4 separate regions of the Mus musculus genome follow, and all the other regions are reported to be linked to region 2. Evidence: microRNA targets listed by miRTarBase, many of them from high-throughput screens and not tested one by one. Region 2 holds a microRNA gene; each other region holds the end of a gene's coding sequence.
What was found. The annotated mature microRNA mmu-miR-141-3p reads UAACACUGUCUGGUAAAGAUGG and lies in region 2 at 1,476-1,497, shown strand. An mRNA with a match to its seed (bases 2 to 7 or 8) in the 3' UTR can be bound and repressed. Matches are read on the target gene's strand: a 7mer-m8 pairs with bases 2 to 8, a 7mer-A1 pairs with bases 2 to 7 and ends in A, and an 8mer does both.

Region 1 (3,122 bases), not on the chromosome of region 2:
GAATGATACCTCTTTACAAAACAAAACAAAACAAAAAAAACAAACCACAAAGCAAATACTTTCTAAAATAGATTTTTATTAGGAAATATAAAATTTGGCAAATATTTTAAAAATTGTTATATTGTTAATATTTTAATAGAGAAAGCACCACATTAAAATACATTGATAAAATGATATACTTACAACATTGGTAAATTATGAAGTCTAACTACAGAACTACTTCTTCAGGGTCTTTAGGGCTGAGTCGTAAATATAGAGTAGTAGCTACATATAAGAATGCCCACTCTTATGTACACCAAATAAAATTGGGTCAAACTGGCCCATGGTGAGCTCCTTGCAACTCTGCTCTGAATGAATCTGTAGTATTTCATAGACCTAATCCACAAAGTGACAGGAAAATGGCATAGAGGACTTCTTTGAGAATACATTAATTTCTCAAAGACTATATACAACTTGTGTGTGTGTGTGTGTGTGTGTGTGTGTGTGTGTGTGTATGTGTGTGTGTGTGTGTATGTTGGGGGCAGCAAAGTTCAGAGAGTTCAATATAGGAGGCGGGGTGTGGAAACCAAGTAGGGATGGCGGGAGAACCTTGTGGCCAGATTCAATTTGATATGTTAGATAAGCATTTCAGCCATTTGTCCCAAGGGTTTGAGACTTTATAGTACTTAAGCTACTATTTTGCAGAGTGGATTTGAAGAAATGTGAGTAAAGGCATTTTCTTCTCTGAATTAATAAGTTTAGGTAGTTTTGCGAATGCTGTCTTGAAACAGCCACTTAAAAGATGAAAATAAACTTATATGTGACAGGTAGCCCTAGTTGATCTGGAATATATTATGTAGACTATTCTGGCCTGAACCTTGTGGTTGACTGATGCTCTGCCTCCCAAGTGCAGGAATTTCAGGGATGTACCTCCAGTAATACCCAGTGTAGCCCTGGTTGTCCTGGAACTCCTCTGAAGACAAGGCTGACCCTGAACTCTGCCTCCCAGTGCAGGAGGAAGAGGGTGCCACCACTCATGGTCCTACACCCAGTTCTTTTGCTTTTTTGTTTGTTTTGTGGTTTTGTTTTGTTTTCAAGACAGGGTTTCTCTGTGTAGCCCAGAGGCTGGCCTCCAACTCAGAGAGTACCTGACTTTGCTGGAATTAAAGGCATGCACCACCACAACCATGACCAGGTTTTCTTGTATTTGTATTCAAGCCTGAAAGTACAAAATTGCTGTAGCTCTAACAGCTCTACTGTAATGTTACTTGAAAATAGTGTCCAAGGGGCTGAGAGATAGCTCAGTGGTCAAGAGCACTGACTGCTCTTCCAGAGGTCCTGAGTTCAGTTCCCAGCACCCACATGGTAGATCACAACCATCTGTAATAGGATCTGATGCCCTCTTCCGATATGTCTGATGACAGTGACAGTGTACTTATATACATAAAATTAATAAACCTTAAAAAGTAATGTCCAAGAAGCTACTTCTTTGCTATCAATGATTTCACAGTAAAGATGTTTAAATAGCTGGTAGAAATTTTAGTGGCAAAGACATTGGAGTGCGATAGCATCTTTTTAAAAAGCTGCAGAAGGTATGTTACAATCCACATATCCTCACTAGACCTGCAAGACCTAATTTAAATTTAAGGGCAATACAGATTTCAAAGTAAACACATTTGCCTTTTAAACATTTTAGCTCAGAGCAGTTTAACATTAGCACCAAATATCTATCCATATAATTTCCATTTAAAAAGCTAGCAGTGTGTAAAACCTCGTGTTTTTCTGTACAATGGTTTAATTTAATATGTAGCTTTTAAATTCTGAAATTAAAAGGTCAAAGTTGTTAACTCAGTCTGTAAGCAACTGAAGAACAGGTGTATAAGAAATGTCTGACAGAACCCACCATCTAGTACAATGTTCTTTTATTATTTCCATTTTCGACATAAAACTCTCTTAAGTAGAGAAAACATGTATAACCCCCATTTCCCAAATACCTCCAGCTTTTCTTTTCATTTGGCAGTGCTGGGGACTGGCCTCAGAGTCTAGGTAGGCTGGGCAAGCATGGTCCCAGCCTTGGCACTTCAAGAGATCTGCTTGGCTCTGTCTCCTACCCGCTAAGATTAAAGTCATGAGCTACCATGCCAGGCAATTGTTTGAGACAGGGTCTCATACAGCTCAGGCTGGCCTCAAATTTTGCTATGAAAAACAGAATGGCTGGACTCCTGACACTCCTGTCTCCACTTCCCAAGTGCTGGGACTACAAGTGCACTACCACAGAGGGTGCAGCTCAGCACTCAGGATGTTTTCATAATTCAAAGCTAACACTGATTTTATATCTTAGGTATTTCTATGGCAATAAATCACCTAAAGTTGAAAACCAAATTATAAACCCACTACACACACAAAAAGGATAGACACGAGTTTTTAAAATCAAGTTAATAGCAAAACTGCCATAGAACAATATACAGTACATGTGATGTTACAATTTTAGTTTCAACAATTCTATTAAAAAACCAATAGTTTCTATTTATTCTGAATCAATAAATTATTCACAATTAAAATGTTTTCATAAATAGTAACAACAGATGTTGTATAAGGTATATGAGATTTTTTAAAGAGTTACAAATACTTCAGGATTGTATTTTTCAAGTAGTTTTTTCATTACTGAAATGTATCCACAGTTTGTAACTGACCCGTAACACTGGCAACACAGACTAATTTGGCAACAATCAAGTATGTAGTGCTGTTTGCTTGTTTTTCACATCATCATTGGGTAAACTCTTTTTGTAGGAAATAGGATGTTATACAATACATCAATCCAATTAGTTAGCATATTTATGAAGGAAACGTTCAAAGGCATCGTAGATGGCTTGTCTAAAATGAAATGTAAAGAATTAGTCATTAACAAATATGGGAAAGGGCAGACAACTATTATATTTCTAAAATTATCTCTGATTCCAACTATCTGATAAAATGTGCTTCTGATATCCTACATCCTTCATTCTCTAGAGGACAAAATAGGACAGTACATGAAGAAACAGCTCAGTGTACAATATAAAATAGTATGTATCTTTGTTTTATGTTCTAGTCCACTTACTTCCTTGCTGGCCTTCATATATTTCTTAAGGCAAAAAATATCCCCC
Region 2 (3,122 bases):
TGCAAGGACCGTCTCTCCTGGTTTAGCTGCAGTAGGGCTAGGAGTTTCGGGAAGGGAGGCCTTTGGGCCCAGGCAGACACTGCCATCTCAGGGTAAAACCAAAGATCCGGCGCAATGCTTGGCGATCCACAGGTCTGTTGGGGCTTCCTCCCTTCCCAGTTCTCAAGGGGTTGTTGCCCGGCCCTGTCTGAGCCCTGGACAGGGACACAGACCAATGCCTGCCTAGCTGACCCCACACTGACCTCAGGGCTGGTCCTCTGACTCTGGCTGAGAGCAGGGTTGGAGAGGCCTCAGAGAAGAGGGTGTTTTAGCTTGGGAGGAAGGAGCCGCTGGAAGGGGATCCAAAGATGGCCTCTTTCTTTATTCCTTTAGAAACAGGGAAAGTACAAGGTAGAAGAAGAAAGGCGGCCAGAAAGGGCGGGAGGCCTGGCGGGGTGGCCAGGCCTCAAGAGGAGGTGCCCAGGGCTGGTGCTGGGAGGGAAGGGGTTAAGGCGGAGAGGGGGGCAGCCTATGGCAGGAGGACACACCTGTGCGCAGGGCAGAGGCGGGCGGGGCCCAGGTGAGGCGCCTGTGCTGCCCGGCAGGTGAAGGAGGAAGAGCGAGAGTGGAGGCCAAGTCGGCTCTAGGCGGCTGAATCCGGGCCGTTGGTACACCTTTCTTTCTTCTGCACCACTCTAGGGGTCAGGCGGGTCTGGTGCCAGGTAAAGGCCACCGATCAGGGGGGTCCTGGGGCTGCGCTAGCGACGGTAGAACGCAGTAAATGGGTGTGTTGGAGGGCAGGGACAGGCCGTGGAATGGGGGGGGGGGGACTGGCTCGCAGGTGGATAGTAGAGGCTACAGAAAGCTGGTTTTGGCCTCAGTGATGGGCAAGTCAGGGTAGGCCTGGTGGGGAGCAGCCAGGCTCTCCCGGAAGTGTCCCAAATGACGCGGAGGTGGGGGATGGGAGCAGGAGATCTGCCGCTTCTCTTGAGGGGCTTGGGCTTAGCCAGGGCTGATCTTGAAGGTGGACTGGTTGGGTAGGGGCCCTCGTCTTACCCAGCAGTGTTTGGGTGCTGGTTGGGAGTCTCTAATACTGCCGGGTAATGATGGAGGCCCCTGTCCCAGTGTCATCGGCGTCCATTGCGCGTCCATCGCTTTAGGCACTTTTATCTGGCAGCAACCCATTCCTCCCACACATAACCTGGAAGCCCCTTCTTCCGAGTTAAGGGTGGCTCTCGGGTTGGCTGGTTGCCCACTGGAAGAACACAATGGCCCCAGCCCCTCCTCCAATCCAGTGTGATTTGTCATCTGGTAGATCCAGAACCTACTAGAAGCAGACCTTGGCCTTGGGATTGTCTACGCGCACACAAGAGGCCACAGTCAGCCAGCCAGCAGCGGCTTCCCTCTAGCGCTTGATCAGCGGTAGATCAATTTATATTGGCTGGCTCTGGGTCCATCTTCCAGTGCAGTGTTGGATGGTTGAAGTATGAAGCTCCTAACACTGTCTGGTAAAGATGGCCCCCGGGTCAGTTCCTTCAGCAGTGACCTTGGAGCCTTGAAGACCACCTAGGCCTCCAGGCCAACAGCCTCTGACCTTTAACCTTCTGGATGGGTGTGTGTGTGTGTGTATCACTTGGCAAAGGGGAACAATGGGAAAGAGACAAAATGGCTGCCTTCAGAACAGCAGCAAGATTTGGAAACACATTTGGTCCCAAGACGCTGGCTTCCGTTGTCTTTTCACCCTGGGAACCTGAATGTCCATGGGGAACGTGGGATACGATTCCGGTCCATTCGGTGGTCTGTCTTAGGCTTCAGGAGAGACCTACTTCCTCTAAGAACCCAAGGAGCTGAAGCTCTGCTGCACCCTCTCGCCCAGTCAGGCTCACCCTTCCTCTATTGTATTCTTGTCTGCCCAGAAGGAAAAAACCAAGGCAACGGTTCTAGCGAAGTCCGTGAGCAATGGCTTGATTTCCCCAGTACTGGAGACTCGGTCTTCGTAAGAAAGGTAGTCTGTGGAAAATAGGTTCAGTTGGGCTCCCGGGCTGTGGGGGTGGGAAGGCCTCCTCCACAGGGAGAAACTTCAGTGCAAATAGCTCATCGTACCTGGTGACTAAGTAACAGCACACCGGGACTTAGGAACACGGAAACCCTTGGGAGGAACACGCCATCTCCCGGAGCTAACCAGGAGCTGGTTACCAAGGAAGCAGCTCCCCCTGGGGTCATCACGTTTTTAGTTTGGCTCAGCAAAGCCTCAGCTGCTTCAGCTTTTAAAAAGATGTCATTAAGTCTGTGGGTTCATTTGGTAGACCTGCGGGTGGGGTGAAGGTGTAGTTGGGCCTGAGATCGGCTGCTCCCAGCTTAGGTCCTGTTGAGGACCCGGCGGCAGTCCGAATGCTACAGGCCAGACTGCTTGTGCCCTCTGCTGGCCGAGTCCCAGTGTGATCAATGTCTTCGCGCAATCTACGTACACACTCAGACACAAAATTTTTGGCTTTAAGTAATAAAAATTTTATTGAGAATTCCTGGCATGGTGGTTATCTCCCCCACTCTGGGAGAGGCTCAAGGCTGTAGGAAATCACGGAGAAATCACATTGTCCCACCCCGCTTCCCAGCCAACACAGGAAGGAGGAAAGCCTCTGAAAGGGCTGGTCTCAGTCTTCCTTAATCCAAGAGGGCAGATACAGAAAAGTCCATCACATGATGCCTGGGGCAGGGTGGGCTGTGCTTGACCCCCGAGCTGGCTCCTCCAAGCTGGACAAGTGTGCCAACTTCTCTGGTGGTGGGGTTCTTGATGTCCACACTCATTTCTTACCCTTAATGAGGCTGTCACTGGAGAACAAAGGGAACATTCCTATTATCGGGGATGTAAGTGTGAGGTGCACAACACCCCAAACCACAGCTTCTTCCTAAATAAAGGCCTGACAATGGGGAGAAAGGGGGTGTAGGGGCAGGTCCAGGAAGCAGATGGCCCCCAGGACCCCATAGCAAGGAGGCAGCCACTTACCTTCCCCTGCAACCAGCATGCCATGAAGTGAGCAGGAAATATGTGAAAAGAGAAATAAATCGTTAGTCAGCTACAGGCTCAGCTGCTCCAGACCCGCACTCCCCAGTGAGGACGGCTCTTTGCCACTATCTGTGCGGTC
Region 3 (3,122 bases), not on the chromosome of region 2:
TCGGTTAAGCCTTTTGCTCAGACAGCACTGCTGATGCTATGGCACCTGGCCTTAAACACATGTCACTTACAACCTCAAAGCCAGGCTCCTTTTCCTATGCGCCCCCAAGTTGGTGTGTGTGGATACAAGGTGCTCCCCAGCTCCTGTGGCTTATGTTCTCATCTATTCTGAGGCTTTGGAGATGGGTTCGTGTGCCTGCTGTGATCTGACCCACATTCCTTCACTGGCAGGTGCTGCAGGCCCACGGCTCTTTACCATACACCAGATTGATGCCTGCACGAACAACTTGCCAAAAGCCCACACTTGGTGAGTTATTTTTGTAGCTTTTCCTCTGTCATTCTCGGTAAGTTTTTGTTTAAAAGAAATGATGAGCACTTCTTTTAAGTGATTTTAAAAGTGAAGTTATTCAGAAATCAGTAAGCAAACCCCAAAGTCGTGGCCTCTGCTTTAGAGGGCTGCCCTTCTACCTTCCTGTATGACACGAAGCCTATGTAATGCTCGCCTGCTGTACCTGCTGACTTGTTCTGAGCGAATGATCAAGGCTGATTTGCTTATTTACAGCTTCAATCGAATAGACATTCCACCCTATGAAAGCTATGAGAAGCTCTATGAAAAGCTGCTAACGGCCATCGAGGAGACATGTGGCTTTGCTGTGGAATGATGGGCACCAAGGACTTACCTACAGCTCTTATTTATTCCCTGGCCAACAGCCTCCTTCAGCAGCGCTTCAGAGAACGCTGGGATACAGGACAGCCTCCTCCCCTGTTCCTTAGATTCTAGGACACTGGGAGGGGAAAGGACAATTTTGAAATTCCTTTTCAAGGAAAAGTAAAGGTCTTTATGCTTTGCCATGAGGACACACTCAGCTGCTATTTAAAAATTAATACCTTGAACCTAAAGAATGCTGACCCCCTGCGTCTCCAGAGTTAGGCAGTATTCTACACTTAAAAGACTACTACTATTTTTATACAAGGTTATCTCCCCAAATTGCTTGTCAGACTCATGTCTCTCCCGCATAGCAAGACAACTCCAGCAGTCGGTACAAGTCACACTTCATTTTGATTGAGTACATGATTTTTGAACAACTCCTATACCTGCTCTTTGTAAGAAATTAAATAAAGTTATTTTGGATTGTTCCACCTTTGTAAACAATTGGCTAAAGAGGGATCATTACCTTGATGAAATTAAGCCATTTACATGTTTAGTTGTGTTTTTCTATAGCAGAGTGTTATATTTTGCATTATGTGGGTCACCGTAGCTTAAGTGGGGTTTTATATTTTTCAAGTGTGACTTTCTTGGAAATTCTTAATGCAGCCATTTAAACAGTTTATTTGCTACCCTTCCTGTTTTTAAGATGACTTAAAAAAAAAAAAAAGACCTCATGTTCTTGAATCAAGAAGATCAGGTATTTTGGATTTACTTTCATCTTAAATTGAAATACTGCATTTTTATAGCTTCTCAGTATGTGATGGGGTGGATTTTCATTCTTTGCTGGGTCAGCTTGTCTTTTATATGCTATTTCTATAAACCAAAGTCTCTAATAAGTACATCTAACTTATATTTTAATTAAGTTTCTAAAAGGAAAATTTTTGCTCTAAAAATCGTTTAACAAGTTTGAGAGCCCTGCTTTTACCTCATTGGTTGAGCTGGAGGTGGTAGTGGGCATGGTGGGCCAAGAATGTCATACATGCATGACGTCAGCTGGGCTGACCATGCCCGTGATCCTGGCTCCTGGGAAGCTAAGGCAGAAGGGCCAGTTCAAGTTTGAGGCCAGCCTGAGCGACACAGCAGACCTTGCCTCACATAAGAGTGACTCTAAGGCAGTCGTATAATTTACTCTAGAACTAAAGAGTTCATGAAGTGAGGGACTGGAGGCCAGGCTGCCACACTGCTGACTTCAAGTGTGGAGGTTACGCTTTCAAGGTGTGTGGCCCATCCTGTGATCTAGAAGGTAACAAAAATTCTGGGGTGAGGGGTTGCAACCATTTAAAAAAAAATCACATTGGATTTTAAAATTCAACCATCAGAACAATGCACTATTATTTTTAAACATGGATGTGAAAGAAGAATAGCAGATTTTGCTGAGCTTGGCACAGGGCCATGAGGAGCACTTGACAGGAAGTGTAACTCAGCCTGGTGGCCGACACCCGTGATCCTGTCACTGGGGAGGCAGAGGCAGAAGCGTCAGCATGCCAAGGCCAGTCTCACCTACACAGTGGATTGAGGCTTCCTTGAGACCCTGTCTCAGAGGACAGGGATGCAGTGCTAAGGAGACGCTGCTTTCAGTGGTTTTCCATGCAGTGTAACACAGGCAAATCCCACTGCTTTCTGAGTGCCTTTTAACTTTATTACAGTGACTTGACAGAGCTTTAGAGGAAACTGCCCTATGTAACGGTCTTCAATAGCACAGACATCAAAAACATGGTTTAGATTTCGATTTCAAAATTACATTACCTGATTACTTCCAAATAGGTGCTAAGCAAACAAAAATCCCCAGTGTCACAGAACCTGGACTTGCCTTGTGTTTAATGTGAATATTTATCTGTCCCCACGTCGCCTGCCTCCAGGCGCTCTGTTCCATCAGGAAAGCTTCATTCTGACCAATGGTTCCCTGTGCTCACATGCAGTAAGAGGCCACTATTTTCTGGCACAAAGTTTTAAAGCAGTGCTGTGTATCCTGTACATTTGTTTTGCAGTTTGTTGCTCTGTATTTTACAGTGCTCTCCCCACCCCACTCACATTTACAGGCCAGAGCACAAATTTCTCTTCTCCTAAATCCACTATAATTTGCTTTCCTAGACAACACTAAATCTGCCCTGAGCTTGCAGTGCATCGGACAGATGGCACTGGTGGGTGTTAGCCGCTTCCAGTGCCTGCAGGGTCAGCAGCACAGCCTCGCCCTTCAGCTGCAGCTTACGGTCGGGGCCACGTGTGGTGGTTAATGTTCTCACACTAGGATGATGATTGTACCAAATGCTGAGTTGCTGATTCTAGATGTAATTAGTTCACTTTATGTAATATTCTCCTTTTCTCTAAACTGACTTTAAAAGCAAAGTTTTATCATTTCCATTGTATTTATTACAGAATGTTTTAGCCTTGATATTCTTTGTAATTTCACTCAT
Region 4 (3,122 bases), not on the chromosome of region 2:
ATTTATGGAAGAATTTCATCCAAATACCTATAAATTAGGCAACTTTCCAAACCTATGCACCCAGTTTATCCAAAATAAAGCAGGGTGACTCTCAGAGATGGTAAAACCTACCAAAATTCCTCTGGACACATAACTGGTCCACGAAACAACAGGAAACAAACAAAACAAAATAGAAAATACCCATTTCAAGTTTGAAAAGCCAACACACCAGGGTACCTTGAGTTAATTTCTTTGCATGCATATGTAACTCCATTTTGAATTTAAAAAAAAATGCAAAGAATCCTCCAAATGATTTTAGACACAAGAATGCAAATTCTATGAACCCAAGCTCCAAATACCTCAAGTCTAGCACATAACATACCATCAAGTGCAGGGCCCACAGTCTTGCATGCTACTAGTTGAGTTTTGCTTTTTTTTTTTAAAGTTTATTTTCTAGAATACTACATATTCAGATTGTCACTAATCTTCTCTAGAAAAATAGAATTGCTTAAAAATTTATACCAATTTGCTTTTATTTTCTATAAATATTTTAAGACTTGTTAAATATCAGAATGCCTAATAGACTCACTTAAATTAATCAATGTAGCCAAAATACTTATATCTAAAATATCTAGCAAAAATTTGTCATTCAATAAATGAAAATTTCATTGTTTTAGTAAATACTATGTTCTGTCTTTATTTGTATTTTAGGTTGATAAATGTGATCACAAAACAGCAAAATACAGCCCCAGGGGAGGGCTGGCTTGCAGTGGCAGTTTGCAGGACATTTCCAACACAGTTCCCTTCTATAAAGGATGAGGAGAGTGGAAGTCTGGAAGCTGCAGATAATAAGGGCTACAATGGCAAATCTGGGTTTAATGTTTGATATTCCGAACATACTTATTGGTTATATCGAGTAATGATAAAAGCAACGAAATACAAATGACCCTTTCAGCATGAAGCAATTATCGCCTTCACAGAGACTCATAACCATACACTGCCATCATTTTAATGGCGAGTTTAAAATCTGCGTTCAGAACTGTAGTACTAGCCAAAGAGACAAACATATTTACCTCAAGATTTATTCTTTTCTTAGTGGATTTCCAAAATAGTTTTATAATATAAATGTCTTCTCTCCATTAAAAAAAAAAAGCCCATTTTCTTGTAAAAGAGCCATGAACAATATAAAATCATTTGCATCCCTATACCTTCACTTTTACACAACCAGTGCACACCTGAGTTGCCTATGATGGAGACAGCACTAAACTTAGCAAGCCATTACAAATGTGGCATTAGCTGCTTTAAAGACAAAGCCCTATCTTTTTCATGACTTTATCTTTCAAAAGTAAATACACCAAGAACAAGACAATCGACTTGATTTTTATCATTGGACTGGAATTTCAATTCCCATCTTTAAACATACCAGAACTTGCCAGACTCTATCTGTACTAGACAATTAAATCAAACTACATTACATTAAATGTTTTGATGACATTCCATTAGTTCATCAGCCTAAGATGAATAATGAAAGAGCCAAACGTTCTCCTTCAGTCTGATACTCTAAATGGATTAGATCTTTTGGTTTAAGTTCAGTTAAATTCAAGTATTCACCACTAATTGGATTAAGTCTATATCTTAAGAACAATCATTAAAGTCAAGTACTTCAGAAAAAAATAAATAAAGGCAATAATAGCTAAATATATAATTCTATATTTGGATTGCAAGAATCAAAGGAAAAACACCCCACTACACGCGCACACACACACGATTTTTTTTTCACAATGAATGACAGTTTTGATAATCAGAATACTTGGGGTAAGTCACCTTCCTTCCTTCTGCTCTTTAAGAAAACAAAAAGGCAAAGACAAACTAAGCAAGCCTGAGTAAAATCTCTAAGTAAAGCACAAACTCTGACTTGTCTGTAGTTTTAGTCTCACCAAAATGAGGCCGATTTCAGGAGCATGCCCAGCGCGCACATTCTAGACAAGACTGGTGTTCTGGTGTCAGGTTTGGAACTTGGAAAACTTTGCAAGAAGAAATATGATCTTTATGGGGAAAGTACCCGGAAGCAGGCGAAGGCAGCGTGATGAGGCACGTTCCCGGGAGTCCTCACTATCGGCATTCATGTGGTCCACAAGATGGGTCTTAAACCTTGCCTGACTATAAGATTTTCAAAATATAATTGGATAAAGCACTACAGAGAGAAACGAAGCAGCTGAAATCTTAAAAATGCATAAAATATTTTCAAATATGATAGGATCAACATGAGAAGTGCTCTATCGTAGCGTAACAGATGACTGCATACCCCCATGAAACCATGTCAGTTCTGATGGCCTGGGGAAGGGACGTGCTGGCAACTTAGAAAGGAAACCCTACACAGGCTCTGATGTTGGAAAAGACCGGAGCACAGCCAACGGAGCTGCTCGCAGACTGAAAAGCCGTTCTCAGTCCTTCAGCAAAATAAAATGGGTGGTGTACAAAGGCCACCGAATCACCAGCCATTTTCCTGCAGAGAATAATCCCCATGAACACTGACGAATTCAGAAAAGTTTCCCCACTCCACTTACAACTTTTGTTTAAACCTTTCAGTTTCCATCCATGCTTAAAAATATTGAAGGAAAGAAGAAATCCTGGGATGAAGACTAAATTTTATTTTCTCTTGTCTAAAGATTAAAGAAAAGAGGAAAGAACACTGAAACCATGAGTAACAACCGTGCCTAACAGAGCGGCGCAGGAGCTCATCGTGTCGGCCGGGACAAAGAGGAATGAAGATGGCTTATGGAAGCAAGGTGTCCGATGAAGCATGCCTTTAGTCGAGTTTCCCGTTCTGAAGGCTATCCTTGGCTTTCTCTTGTCTGATGAGGGAGATGACTTTGATGCATCCTTTCGTGATTTTGATCATCCACATGATATTCATCACGTCTAAAATAACACAAGTAACGATCCAGACAGACTGGATTACAAATCCGAACCTTATGTAGGGTTCTGTTCCGTACACGGAGTAAAGGAAGAAATACATCGGAGGTATCGAAATGATCCGCACGATGAAAAAGACCACCGTCATAAGAATTCCATTGATGACATTGGCTTTGGAAAACTTGGGGTACTTCAGGGCTTCAAAGAACCACCTGATGAGAGAAGCA

Region 1: the mRNA of Abhd18 is a reported target of mmu-miR-141-3p. Seed matches in the 3' UTR shown: 8mer at 2,676-2,683 and 8mer at 2,299-2,306.
Region 3: the mRNA of Smurf2 is a reported target of mmu-miR-141-3p. Seed matches in the 3' UTR shown: 7mer-A1 at 1,225-1,231.
Region 4: the mRNA of Tlcd4 is a reported target of mmu-miR-141-3p. Seed matches in the 3' UTR shown: 7mer-m8 at 2,668-2,674 and 7mer-m8 at 2,507-2,513.

What each region holds. Positions count from the first base shown.
Region 1 is chr3:40,935,073-40,938,194 of GRCm38, reverse strand. It overlaps Abhd18 (abhydrolase domain containing 18), which reads right to left. Exons shown (of 13, transcript NM_026622.4): 13 at 57-2,853. The coding sequence ends at 2,802. Among named protein-coding and RNA genes, the nearest start is that of Larp1b, 14 kb to the left of the region's middle.
Region 2 is chr6:124,716,292-124,719,413 of GRCm38, reverse strand. Mir141 (microRNA 141) reads left to right here and starts at 1,429; the gene lies at 1,429-1,500. Phb2 (prohibitin 2) reads right to left here. Exons shown (of 10, transcript NM_007531.2): 9 at 2,984-2,989; 10 at 2,469-2,808. The coding sequence ends at 2,781. Mir200c (microRNA 200c) reads left to right here and starts at 1,024; the gene lies at 1,024-1,092.
Region 3 is chr11:106,820,204-106,823,325 of GRCm38, reverse strand. Smurf2 (SMAD specific E3 ubiquitin protein ligase 2) reads left to right here. Exons shown (of 19, transcript NM_025481.3): 18 at 231-306; 19 at 562-3,122. The coding sequence ends at 661. Among named protein-coding and RNA genes, the nearest start is that of Cep95, 33 kb to the right of the region's middle.
Region 4 is chr3:121,204,364-121,207,485 of GRCm38, forward strand. It overlaps Tlcd4 (TLC domain containing 4), which reads right to left. Exons shown (of 8, transcript NM_001355678.2): 8 at 1-3,107. The coding sequence ends at 2,789. Among named protein-coding and RNA genes, the nearest start is that of Rwdd3, 34 kb to the left of the region's middle.